2 linked regions of the Lonchura striata genome follow. The protein of the gene in region 1 purifies or fractionates together with the protein of each later gene. This does not show direct contact. Links are inferred from orthologs where the notes say so. Each region holds a gene or a part of one and is shown in the gene's direction. Other genes may lie near its edges.

Region 1 (4,743 bases):
CTTCCCTTAGCTGCATTCAGCCAATGCAGCTCTGTATAGAATACCATAGCATAACGAGTAAGCTTGATATTTGGGATAGAGAGAATTACCCTGTAGTGTTTATCCTCTAGAAACCACTGACATGGATATTATAGTATTTTTTGTTGTATAACTTTAAAAAATTACTCCCAGCTTCACAGGAAAAGTTCAAACTCCAGTTTCCAGGAATATTTATTTTGGTTTATAACTCTAAGCAGAAAAATCTTATTTTTATTACACTAACATCTAGAGCTCCAGTAGAGCTGTGTAGGCCATTTTGTTCTGTTATCTAAAACTAGGGAGAGAAATGATCTTCTATCAAAGAAAATAACCTATGGATTTGTCTACATTAAATGCTCTAATAAATATATTAAAGTAATTGCAACAAATCTTTGTAACTGGAATCTCTGGACGAAACCCCACTCGGCGAGCTGTCTGCACTTGTGGAACAGGTCACTGCTGCTAGGTGATGTTTCCTGACTACGTTCATGTTTGTTAGCTGCGTATGTGAACGCACCCTGGCTCCAACAGTCGGGCAGCAGGAGCGAGTGCTCATTCAAGGGGCTCAGCAGAGGTTGTAACCTCGAGCAGGGCTGTGAAGAGGGACAGGGAGCAAGCACTGGTGAGGCTGCACCTCAAGTACTGTGTGAGGTGCTGGAGTATGATCAGAGAAGGGCAGAAAGCTTGTGAAAGGTCTAGAAACCATGTCTGATGAGGATGGGCTCAGGGAGCTGGGGCTGTTCTGCCTGGAGGCGGCTCAGCGGGAACCTCATGGCTCCCTACAGGAGCCAGGTGGGATCTGTCTCTTCTGCTATGCCTGCAGCGAGACGGCCAAAGGAAATCGACTGAAGCTGAGACAAGGAAGATTCGAATTAGATGTTTAAAAAAATCTTTCCGTGTTAGTGTGCTCAGGAACTGGAATAAGCTGCCCAGGAGGGTGGTGGAACTACCATCCCCAGAGGTGTTCAAGAGGTGCTCGGCTCTGGCGCTGAGCGATGTGACACAGTGGTTACAGTGGCAGTGCTGGGTTGGGCGGCTGCGCTGGAGGATCTGAAGGGCCATTTCCAGCCCGGGTGCCGCTGTGGCTCAGGGATCCCCTGACGGGCGCTGTCCCGGCCCGCCCTCAGCCGCGGGGCGGGGCCGTCGGGCTCGCGCCCAGGAGAGGCTTTGGCCAACGGGCCCGCGCGCCAGCGCCTCGCGCGGTCCCGGCGCTTCCTTCCGGCCGCCATTTTGTCGGCCGTGCCTCGCCGTGCCGCCGCTCGGGGAGGGAGCGCAGAGCACCCGCCCGCCGCACCCGGACCGACCGCCCGCCAGCCACACCGACCGCCATCGCCATGTCCAAGCGCCACCGCCTCGATCTGGGCGACGATTACAGCTCCAGCAAGAAACGCACCACCGACGGGTGAGGGGTGGCGCGGGCGGCGCGGCCTGCGGCGGGGCGGGTGGGGGGGATCGCGGCGGCTCCCGCGCCATCCGCGCCCCATCCCCGGCTCCGGCCGCCCCTCCGGGGCTGCAGCTCCCCGGGACGCGGGGCGGCCGCCTTGCGAGGCAGGGAGAGGCCGCAGCGACGGCGCCTCGGCCGAGCAGGCCCCGAAGTCTGGCGGCTCCCCGAGCGCGGGGCCTGGCTCGGAACGGCCGCCCCGCCGGGCGGGCCCTTCGGGGGGCGGATGGCGGCGGCGGCGGCGACAGCGGCGGCGGGGCCTCGCGCGGCGGCGCCGGCAGGGGGAGGGGAGGGAGGGGAGGGAGGCGCCGGCCCGGCCGCCGGGGCAGGGGGCTGGGCTGGGCGCCCGCTGCGGGGCCCGCGCCCCCGCGCACGCTTTGTTTGCAGCTCTTCGCCTTCGTACTTATATTCGCCTTTTCCACTCCTTGTCCTCCTTCCTTTGTGTTTGTTTACTTATTCTCTGGCTTGAAAGGTCTGGCGAGCGTGGGCCTAGAGGTGAGCACGAGGGTTGTGCAGCCCGTGTTATTAGTGCCTACTCTGGTGGGAGCCTTGTTCCTTTGTTAACGTCTTTTCACCCAGTCACCCTCGGTGATGTGCTTGCCCTGAAGTAAGAATCGATGGTGAGGTGGGTTTTGAGTTAGGGGGCAAGGAATTGTTTATTTTTCTCTTAGTTTTGCGGGGTTGAAGTTTTAGGGCTGTACTCGAGCATATTTTTGTTGAGGTTAATGTAATTGCAGGAACACAGACAATGCACTGGTGCTGTTCTTAAATTCAGCGTTGATTTAGAGCTTTCTTTACACATTATCTTTTCCTCTCTAGTTGGGCAGGAGGGGGAGGAAGGGCAGTCAGCTCTTGAAAGTAAATTTCTGAAGTTTTAAGGAGTACAAAAAAATGCAGTGTTTATCTAGTCTGGCCTTCTTTATGGAGCACAGCAAGCTTCCGTGAATTAAACACTTGTTTAAGTCCATCAGCGTTGTTTTGGACTAGTTATGTAAGAAAAAAAAATTTCAGTTTTCACAGGTTAAATAAGTCGAATGTAGCAGTTAATAGTCACTGACAAACAGTCTTTGCAAAACTTGCCTTTTTTAAGGTAAGCTTGTACAGCTTCAGTTTTTAGCCCCTAGAGTTTGATTCATTTTTCTCAGCTAAACAAAATAAGTCTTTGTTATTCTACTTTTACTTTCTGTCTGTAGGATCATCATAATCACGTTTTATAAAATATATTGAGCTATTTGTGTTAGTTAATGCATTTTTGTAGGATTTCCCAGAGTTTGAAATAGTTCCTCTGAGTGTACAGAAATGTACATGTACAGTTTTTCTGTGGTACAACTGTTACAGCTGGCTGTAGCGATAATCATGGGTCAATATTTCCTTGTTTGTATGTTGGTGGATTTTGTAGTTTTGGTGTGGCCTTGTTTGTCATTGTTTTTACTTATCATGAATGCTATTCTGTGCTCTTGGTGCTACCATTTTGTATGTACTGCAGTGAGTTCCCACCAGTGTTAAACTAGAAGACATTGACCTTTATGGCACCTAAAAACTGTAGAAATGTTGGTCTTGTGCCCCTTCTTTGTCCTGCCCTCTGCAGGTAAAAGCATGAAATGGTATAGGACTGAGAAAAACTCACTATAAGCATAATTACTGAACATGCCATGATTATTTCTTAGATGACTTGCAATCTTAATTCACGTAGGATGAGTCATACTAATGTTACATGGCTGGTTTATTTTAGAGTAGTTCGGTTTTGCAGCTTATGCAAGGCCGTAAGGAGGATGTGTGGAGCCTTGTTAAAAGCCTGTGTGTACCTGTCTTCCTCTGTGCCGAGGTTGCCTTTCCGCAGTGTAGGTGGTTCTGGAGCTGGATTAAGCTGGATGAGCTCCTTGCGTGATTACCACTTCGCATTCAGAACAATAGTGTCTTGCATCCTAACTGGACTACCTGACAAATATGAAAGTTACTTCAAGTGAACCTGTATTTTTTAGTTCCTCTTTAATGGAGGCCTATGTTAGTATGGGTTGCTGCACATTGGCAGCAGTGCCACATGGGCTCTGCTTGGCCGACATGTTTGTAACTGGTGCAACCTTAAACATCTGCATGACATCTGTTTTCTTCCAGAATTGAAGTATTGTCTGTGAAGTAAAAAACATTTTGAAAAATAAAAGTTGTATGGAAGACTTGGTTACAGCATTTCTGTGAATTACATACATACTATTTTAAAATATGCTAATTTATTTTTAAATATATTTGAGTTGTGTAACATCAGAGTGATCTAATGGGATGTATCATTCAGACTAATTGTATTTGGTTGATTTCTGTATAGAACAGAAATTCCTTTAGCTTATTGCCTTTTTTGCATCAAATATTGCTGTTTAATAATGGGGAGGAATTATGATTTCTTAGACTGGTTTAAGCCTTCACTGTGATGATCAGTGGTTTACCTTGAGTCCTTTGTTTCCCTTTTTATTTTTATATGATTTCTAATCAAAAAAAGCATGCTTATTTAGTGGTTGCTATAGTGCTTATTTTGTGTTCATATATGTTATATGTGTGTGAATGTAAGGAAGTGAAAGCAAATAGCAGACCAGACTTTTTCACTTAAAAGCAGAGCAAAAAATCCCAGCCCCCTTCTGATCATGAAGGCTGTTACGCGTTTCAGGTGCAAGACAAATGTGATTAAATCATTACTTTAGTGTAATTTTTTGTGTTTGAGTTCTGTTTTCTCTGAGCAATAATGAAAAAGCAGCTAAAATGTAATAGTTTATAAGTAAAGAACTGTCAAGCCATATTGTTAGAAAGTTAAGGAAATTAATATGGCGGCATAACTGTCATTCCTCCTTTTCCTTGTTGACCAAGGGAGTGTGTGTCTGCTGTGTCTGCTAAGCTTCAGTAATAATGGGAAACTGGTAAATAGTTTCAGGCACAGTAAGTGCTGCTGTATAATTTATAAGTGTTAGAGAGTAAGTTTGTATGCATGTTGTGTGTTGTGCTGTTTCTGTGGTAGAATCTGGTTGCCCTGGTTCTCTTCTGCTTTTTGAAAAAAGAAATACTCGACTTTCATTAACACATAAATAGGTTTTATTTCTGAAACGTACATAGAGCTTGATAGGTTTCTTTTCTGTTTGTACAATATAAAAGCTGTAAAAGTTCAGTGAAGAAACTGAGAAATGGGGGATTAATGGCACTTTCCATGATGGATTGTATTTGTAGTCCATTTAATTAACTTTTTGTTCATGAGGTTGTATTTTTGTTTGTTTTAAGTAGCTACCAACACAGAAAATAAGTGC
Region 2 (4,743 bases), on another chromosome or scaffold:
AGGGACACATGGAATGCGTGGATGAGCTGGGCTGCTCCCCAGCTGCCTCCAAAGACGTGCCATGGACCTGAGGAAGGGGATAGAAAACAAAGGGAAACATGATGGAAAACAAAGCTGCTGCCTTGGGCTGCTGTTCCAGAGACAACTGTTGATGTGTTGGATGTTCTTCCTCCATGCTAAAGCATAAAATACCATTCTTGGTACTAAAACTAATCCTTTAAGAGCAAGTTTCTGTCTACAAGCATATGGGCTAGAAAAAGATCAGAAGCACTGAGGGAAGATCAGGAATTGTGTATCCCCCTTGTACTGAGCTGAGAATTGGTTCCTTTCTGGCCATTTTTTGTGTCATCTTTAAACCCTCAGTCAGGCGTTGCTGTGCTAGTCTGAGGGAATCCTGCTCCTGAGGGGATCCTGACCCTGAGGGAATCCTGCCCATGAGGAGATTTTGCTACTTAGGGGCTCCTTAGGGAATCCTGTCCCTGAGAAGATCCTGCTTCTGAAGGGATCCTGTTCCTTAGGGGATCCTGGCCCTGAGGGAATCCTGCTCCTGAGAGAATCCTTCTCCCAAGGGGATCCTGGCCCTGAGGGAATCCTGGCCCTCACAGGATCCTGCTCCTGAGGGAATCCTGCTCCTGAGGGAATCCTGGCCCTCACAGGATCCTGCTCCTGCGGGAATCCTGGCCCTCACAGGATCCTGCTCCTGAGGGGATCCTCCTCCTGAGGGGATCCTGGCTCTGAGGGGATCCTGCTCCTGAAGAAGTCCTGCTCCTGAGGTTCTGTGTTTTGTCTCTTCCAGAACGCTGCCAACAGCCTGTTGTTGCCCGAGAAGGAAGAGCGTGCAGTGGGCCCGTGGAAATCTGTTCTCCAAGCATATTGCTTGCTCCTACTGTTGCCAAATGACTGCGCTCCAGGAATGTATTTGCATTTATTTGCAAAGGCCAAACGTGCTCCACGGCGGGAACGTCCCCGGCCGGTCGCAGCGCTCCGTGGGGAATGCAGCTGTGGAAAGCCGGGGGGACGGGAGGAGATTCCCGTGCCGTGCCTGGAGGATTCTGTACATGGCGTGTGTGTGTGTCTCGTGATCCTGTTCCCGGTGTGGGAGGAACAGCCCTCCCATCCCTGCTGTTCCGTATTCCTGGGATCGGGAAGAGCCACCCTGGTCCTACTGTTTCCAATTCCCAGGGTCAGGAACAGCCCCCCTGGCCCTGCAGAGCCTTTGTGGTGCGTGTGCCCTCCCCCCCCACCGCCTCCCTGACCCTGCAGAGGCTATTGCAGAGTTAATATATGCCCCCCACCCCACCCCTGGTGTCGAACACCATTAAAGCGTTGATTTGATATTTAATATTTTAATTATTAATCGCGCGGGCTCCTCCCCCTCTACTCCCCACAAGGCGGTGCCACCTGCGCGGCCGCGCCGACTCGATGGTTTGGGGGCGGGGCTCGCGCGCGTGCCGGCGACCGGAAGTGAAGGCGGCGCATCCGGTGTGGCGGCGCGGCCGGGGCCGGGCTCCATGAGGGGGCCGGGGTCCCGGGTCAGGAGTTCCTGAGGGGCCGGGGATCCCTGAGCGGGCCGGGGACATCCCGGCGGTGCCGCGATGTCGATGTCGCACCTGTACGGCACGGACGGAGACGATGGCGTGGAGATGGAGAGCTTCGAGGTGTCGGACTGGGACCTGCAGAACGAATTCAACCCGCACCGGCAGCGACACCGCCAGACCAAGGAGGAGGCGACCTACGGCGTGTGGGCCGAGCGAGACTCGGACGAGGAGCGGCCCAGCTTCGGCGGGAAGCGGTGCGGCCGGGCTGCGACCCCCGGGCCGCTCAGGGACCCCAGGAGCTGCCCCGTTCCCTGGAGCTTCCTCCCCCATTCCCTGGAGCTTCTCCCGCATTCCCTGGAACTCCCTCCCCGTTCCCTGGAGCTCCCCCCCCCATTCCCTGGAGCTCCCTCCCTGTTCCCTGGAACTCCCTCCCCGTTCCCTGGAGCTTCCCCCCCATTCCCTGGAGCTCCCCCCCCATTCCCTGGAGCTTCCCCCCGCCCGTTCCCTGGAGCTTTTCCCCCCATTCCCTGCGTCTTTCCCAGCTGTGGACATCGCCGGCTGGGCTGCCCCTCTCACCTGTAGGGATTTTCCCTGTGCTCTCCCTGCAGCACGCAGAGGAGGATGGGGATTGCCTGGCAAAGCAGGGTTAAGCAGCTCGGCAGCCTTTAATATCCCATTTTTGGGAGGTGTGAGGCACAGCAGCTCCCAGCCTCCTGCAGGAATGAGCAGAATTCCCTCTTGTTTGGCAGCTCCAGGGATTACTCAGCCCCCGTGAGCTTTGTGAGCGCTGGGCTGAGGAAGGGGGCGGCCGAGGAGCTCTCGGATGAGGACTCGGATGAGGATGAGAAACCTGTGAAGCAGGAGGAGATTCCCAAGGAGTTTGTGCCCAAGAAGTTGAAAACAGTGAGTTCTCCAGGAAATTTGCTGTTCTCTGTTTTAGGTTTGTGAAACTCAGGCTGTGGTCGAGGGCAGCGAGATGTAATAGAGCACTAAAAAAAGGGAGGAATAATTAAGCCAGAGACCCAAATGTGTCAGGGAAGTGTTTGCTTGGGATTTTGTATCATTGATACAAATACATTGATAAAAATCAGGATAATAAATCATTGGTACAACTGTACATTGGTATAACTGTGTGTCCTTGGGGATCAGTCCTCTCATTTTTTTCAATATTCGTTTTGGTCCATGGAGGTTTAAAGAAGAGAATTCCTGTGATTTCCTGTCTTTCAGACACTTTATTTTTCTACTTTCACAGAATTAACAAATCCAGGCATGTTATAGAGTAAAACTCAAACTCTTCAGTTAAAACCAGAAAGAATCAGGAATCAGCTTCAGCTAAATCTGGTGGTGGAACCTGAGAACTGTCAGGTTGTCAGCCAGAGTTTTTTCAGGGTTTTCCTTTCCCATCTGAGGAATTTCAGGAATCTCCAGTGGTGCTTCACGGATGCACAAGCATGGTTCCAGCATGGGGAGGAAGAACCTTCTGAGGGGAGTTTTGCACATTTTGGTTATTTGAAGCCCCAGGGCTGCAGGTTTTTACGTGTTTGTTTTTGACAGGGTGGAAATTTCAAGCCCAGCCAGAAAGGCTTCGTAGGGGGCTCCAAGTCCTTCGTGGATTTTGGCAGCTGGGAGAGACACACTAAAGGAATTGGGCAGAAGCTCCTCCAGAAGATGGGATATGTCCCTGGCAGGGGTCTGGGGAAGAATGCTCAAGGTATTGTCAATGTGTTTGGTGGTTTATTATTATTAACTGGGGGTTCTGGGGAGAGGTTGGATTCCTTAAAGAGCTGCCATCTGGCTTAAACTTCCTTCTTGTTTTCCTGCCAGTGATCTGGGCCTTGTGGTGAGATTCAGGGGTGTTCAAACTAACCTGTGCTCGTTTGCTCCTCTGGGTATTGTACAAGAGAAAAGGAGCAAGAAAAAAGGCAGTAAATTCCAAAGGTGGTCATCCCACAGGGAAGGAGATGCTGTTTTAATGTGGCAGAATAAAAAGGCAGTGAAATGTGGTTGGGAGTAAGGCTGTGCTTTGGCAGTTTGGTGTGTGCTGGGATGAAGTGATTTTATAGGGAATTGGTGATGTTGGAAGTACCACGGTGCTGGAGGCAGTGCCAGGGAGGGTGTTGGTGCTGATCTGGTAACTCATAGGGAAAGCCTGGCTGTTCTCCCAGCACACAAACTGCTCCTGCTGACCCCATTCCCATCCTGCCAGGAATCATCAATCCCATCGAGGCCAAGCAGAGGAAAGGCAAAGGTGCTGTGGGTGCTTACGGCTCCGAGAGGACCCCACAGTCCTTGCAGGACTTCCCTGTGGTGGACTCAGAAGAGGAAACTGAGGAGGTATTCCTGGGGCTCTTGCTGTTTCCCTGCTATGCTGTATGTACAGAATTCAGTTTTCTTGATTTCTGTGTGTCAGAGAAAACTGGGCTCATTTTAGACAAGCCAAACACAGCATGTCGATTTTGTTCAGGCTGATCTTCCTTGTTGCTGTAATGTTCTTTGTTGTTTCTGTCTCACTCTATTTCTTTAGTTTTGCTAGAATCCCTCCTTTGAAGAGTCCCCTACATAAATAGGCTTTGTCTTCATTTAATCCACATGGTGGGTGACTGGCCCACAGCATCCAAGCTGGTTTTACATGAGCTTCTCCACTTCCCAGTTATTTCCTATACATATTCCTCATGGATCTGATGGTTATTTTCCTGTGAAAAGAGGCAGAATTGGGGTGTGACAAAGAGCAGCTACCACAACTCTGTTGTTTTTGTCCAGGAATTTCAGAAGGAGCTCAGCCAGTGGCGGAAGGACCCAAATGGAGGCAAGAAAAAGCCCAAGTACAGCTACAAGACAGTGGAAGAGCTGAAAGCCAAGGGCAGGATCAGCAAGCAGCTTGCAGCCCCTCAGAAGGAGCTGTCCCAGGTCAAGGTGAGGTTGATAAGCCAAGAGGTGACCCGTGGAGGAACAGTTTGGGCTCTTTGGTGTCACCAGCACATTTTAGGCACCAGTAAGCTCAGTAAAGCCAGTCCTAGGAATTCCTGTGCAGCCTCATGGAGCTCATCCCTGAGCCATGTAATAGCTCTGTGTCATCTGGACGTGGTGACAAGTTTAATTAAATGTGTGTGTAGGGGGTTAATTGCAATAAGTTTAATTATTTCACATTTGTCATAATCAACACTCACCCACTTCTGACAGCACAGTTGTCCTTTTAGGGATTGTT

Evidence for each region. Proteins that work in one complex are often made in the same cells at the same time.
Region 2: the proteins of DHX15 (region 1) and TFIP11 purify together in Homo sapiens (co-immunoprecipitation; 4 studies listed by BioGRID and IntAct, with this or other methods). This does not show direct contact. The link is inferred for Lonchura striata from reciprocal best matches to the Homo sapiens genes DHX15 and TFIP11.

Annotation. Positions count from the first base shown.
Region 1 is NC_134606.1:18,206,399-18,211,141, reverse strand, and holds the start of DHX15 (ATP-dependent RNA helicase DHX15), read left to right. Parts: upstream 1-1,187; 5' UTR 1,188-1,352; coding exon 1,353-1,420; intron 1,421-4,743.
Region 2 is NC_134620.1:10,625,777-10,630,519, forward strand, and holds the start of TFIP11 (tuftelin-interacting protein 11), read left to right. Parts: upstream 1-1,470; 5' UTR 1,471-1,595; coding exon 1,596-1,792; intron 1,793-2,287; coding exon 2,288-2,441; intron 2,442-3,092; coding exon 3,093-3,249; intron 3,250-3,744; coding exon 3,745-3,872; intron 3,873-4,298; coding exon 4,299-4,451; intron 4,452-4,743. UniProt on the Homo sapiens protein: Involved in pre-mRNA splicing, specifically in spliceosome disassembly during late-stage splicing events. Intron turnover seems to proceed through reactions in two lariat-intron associated complexes termed Intron Large (IL) and Intron Small (IS).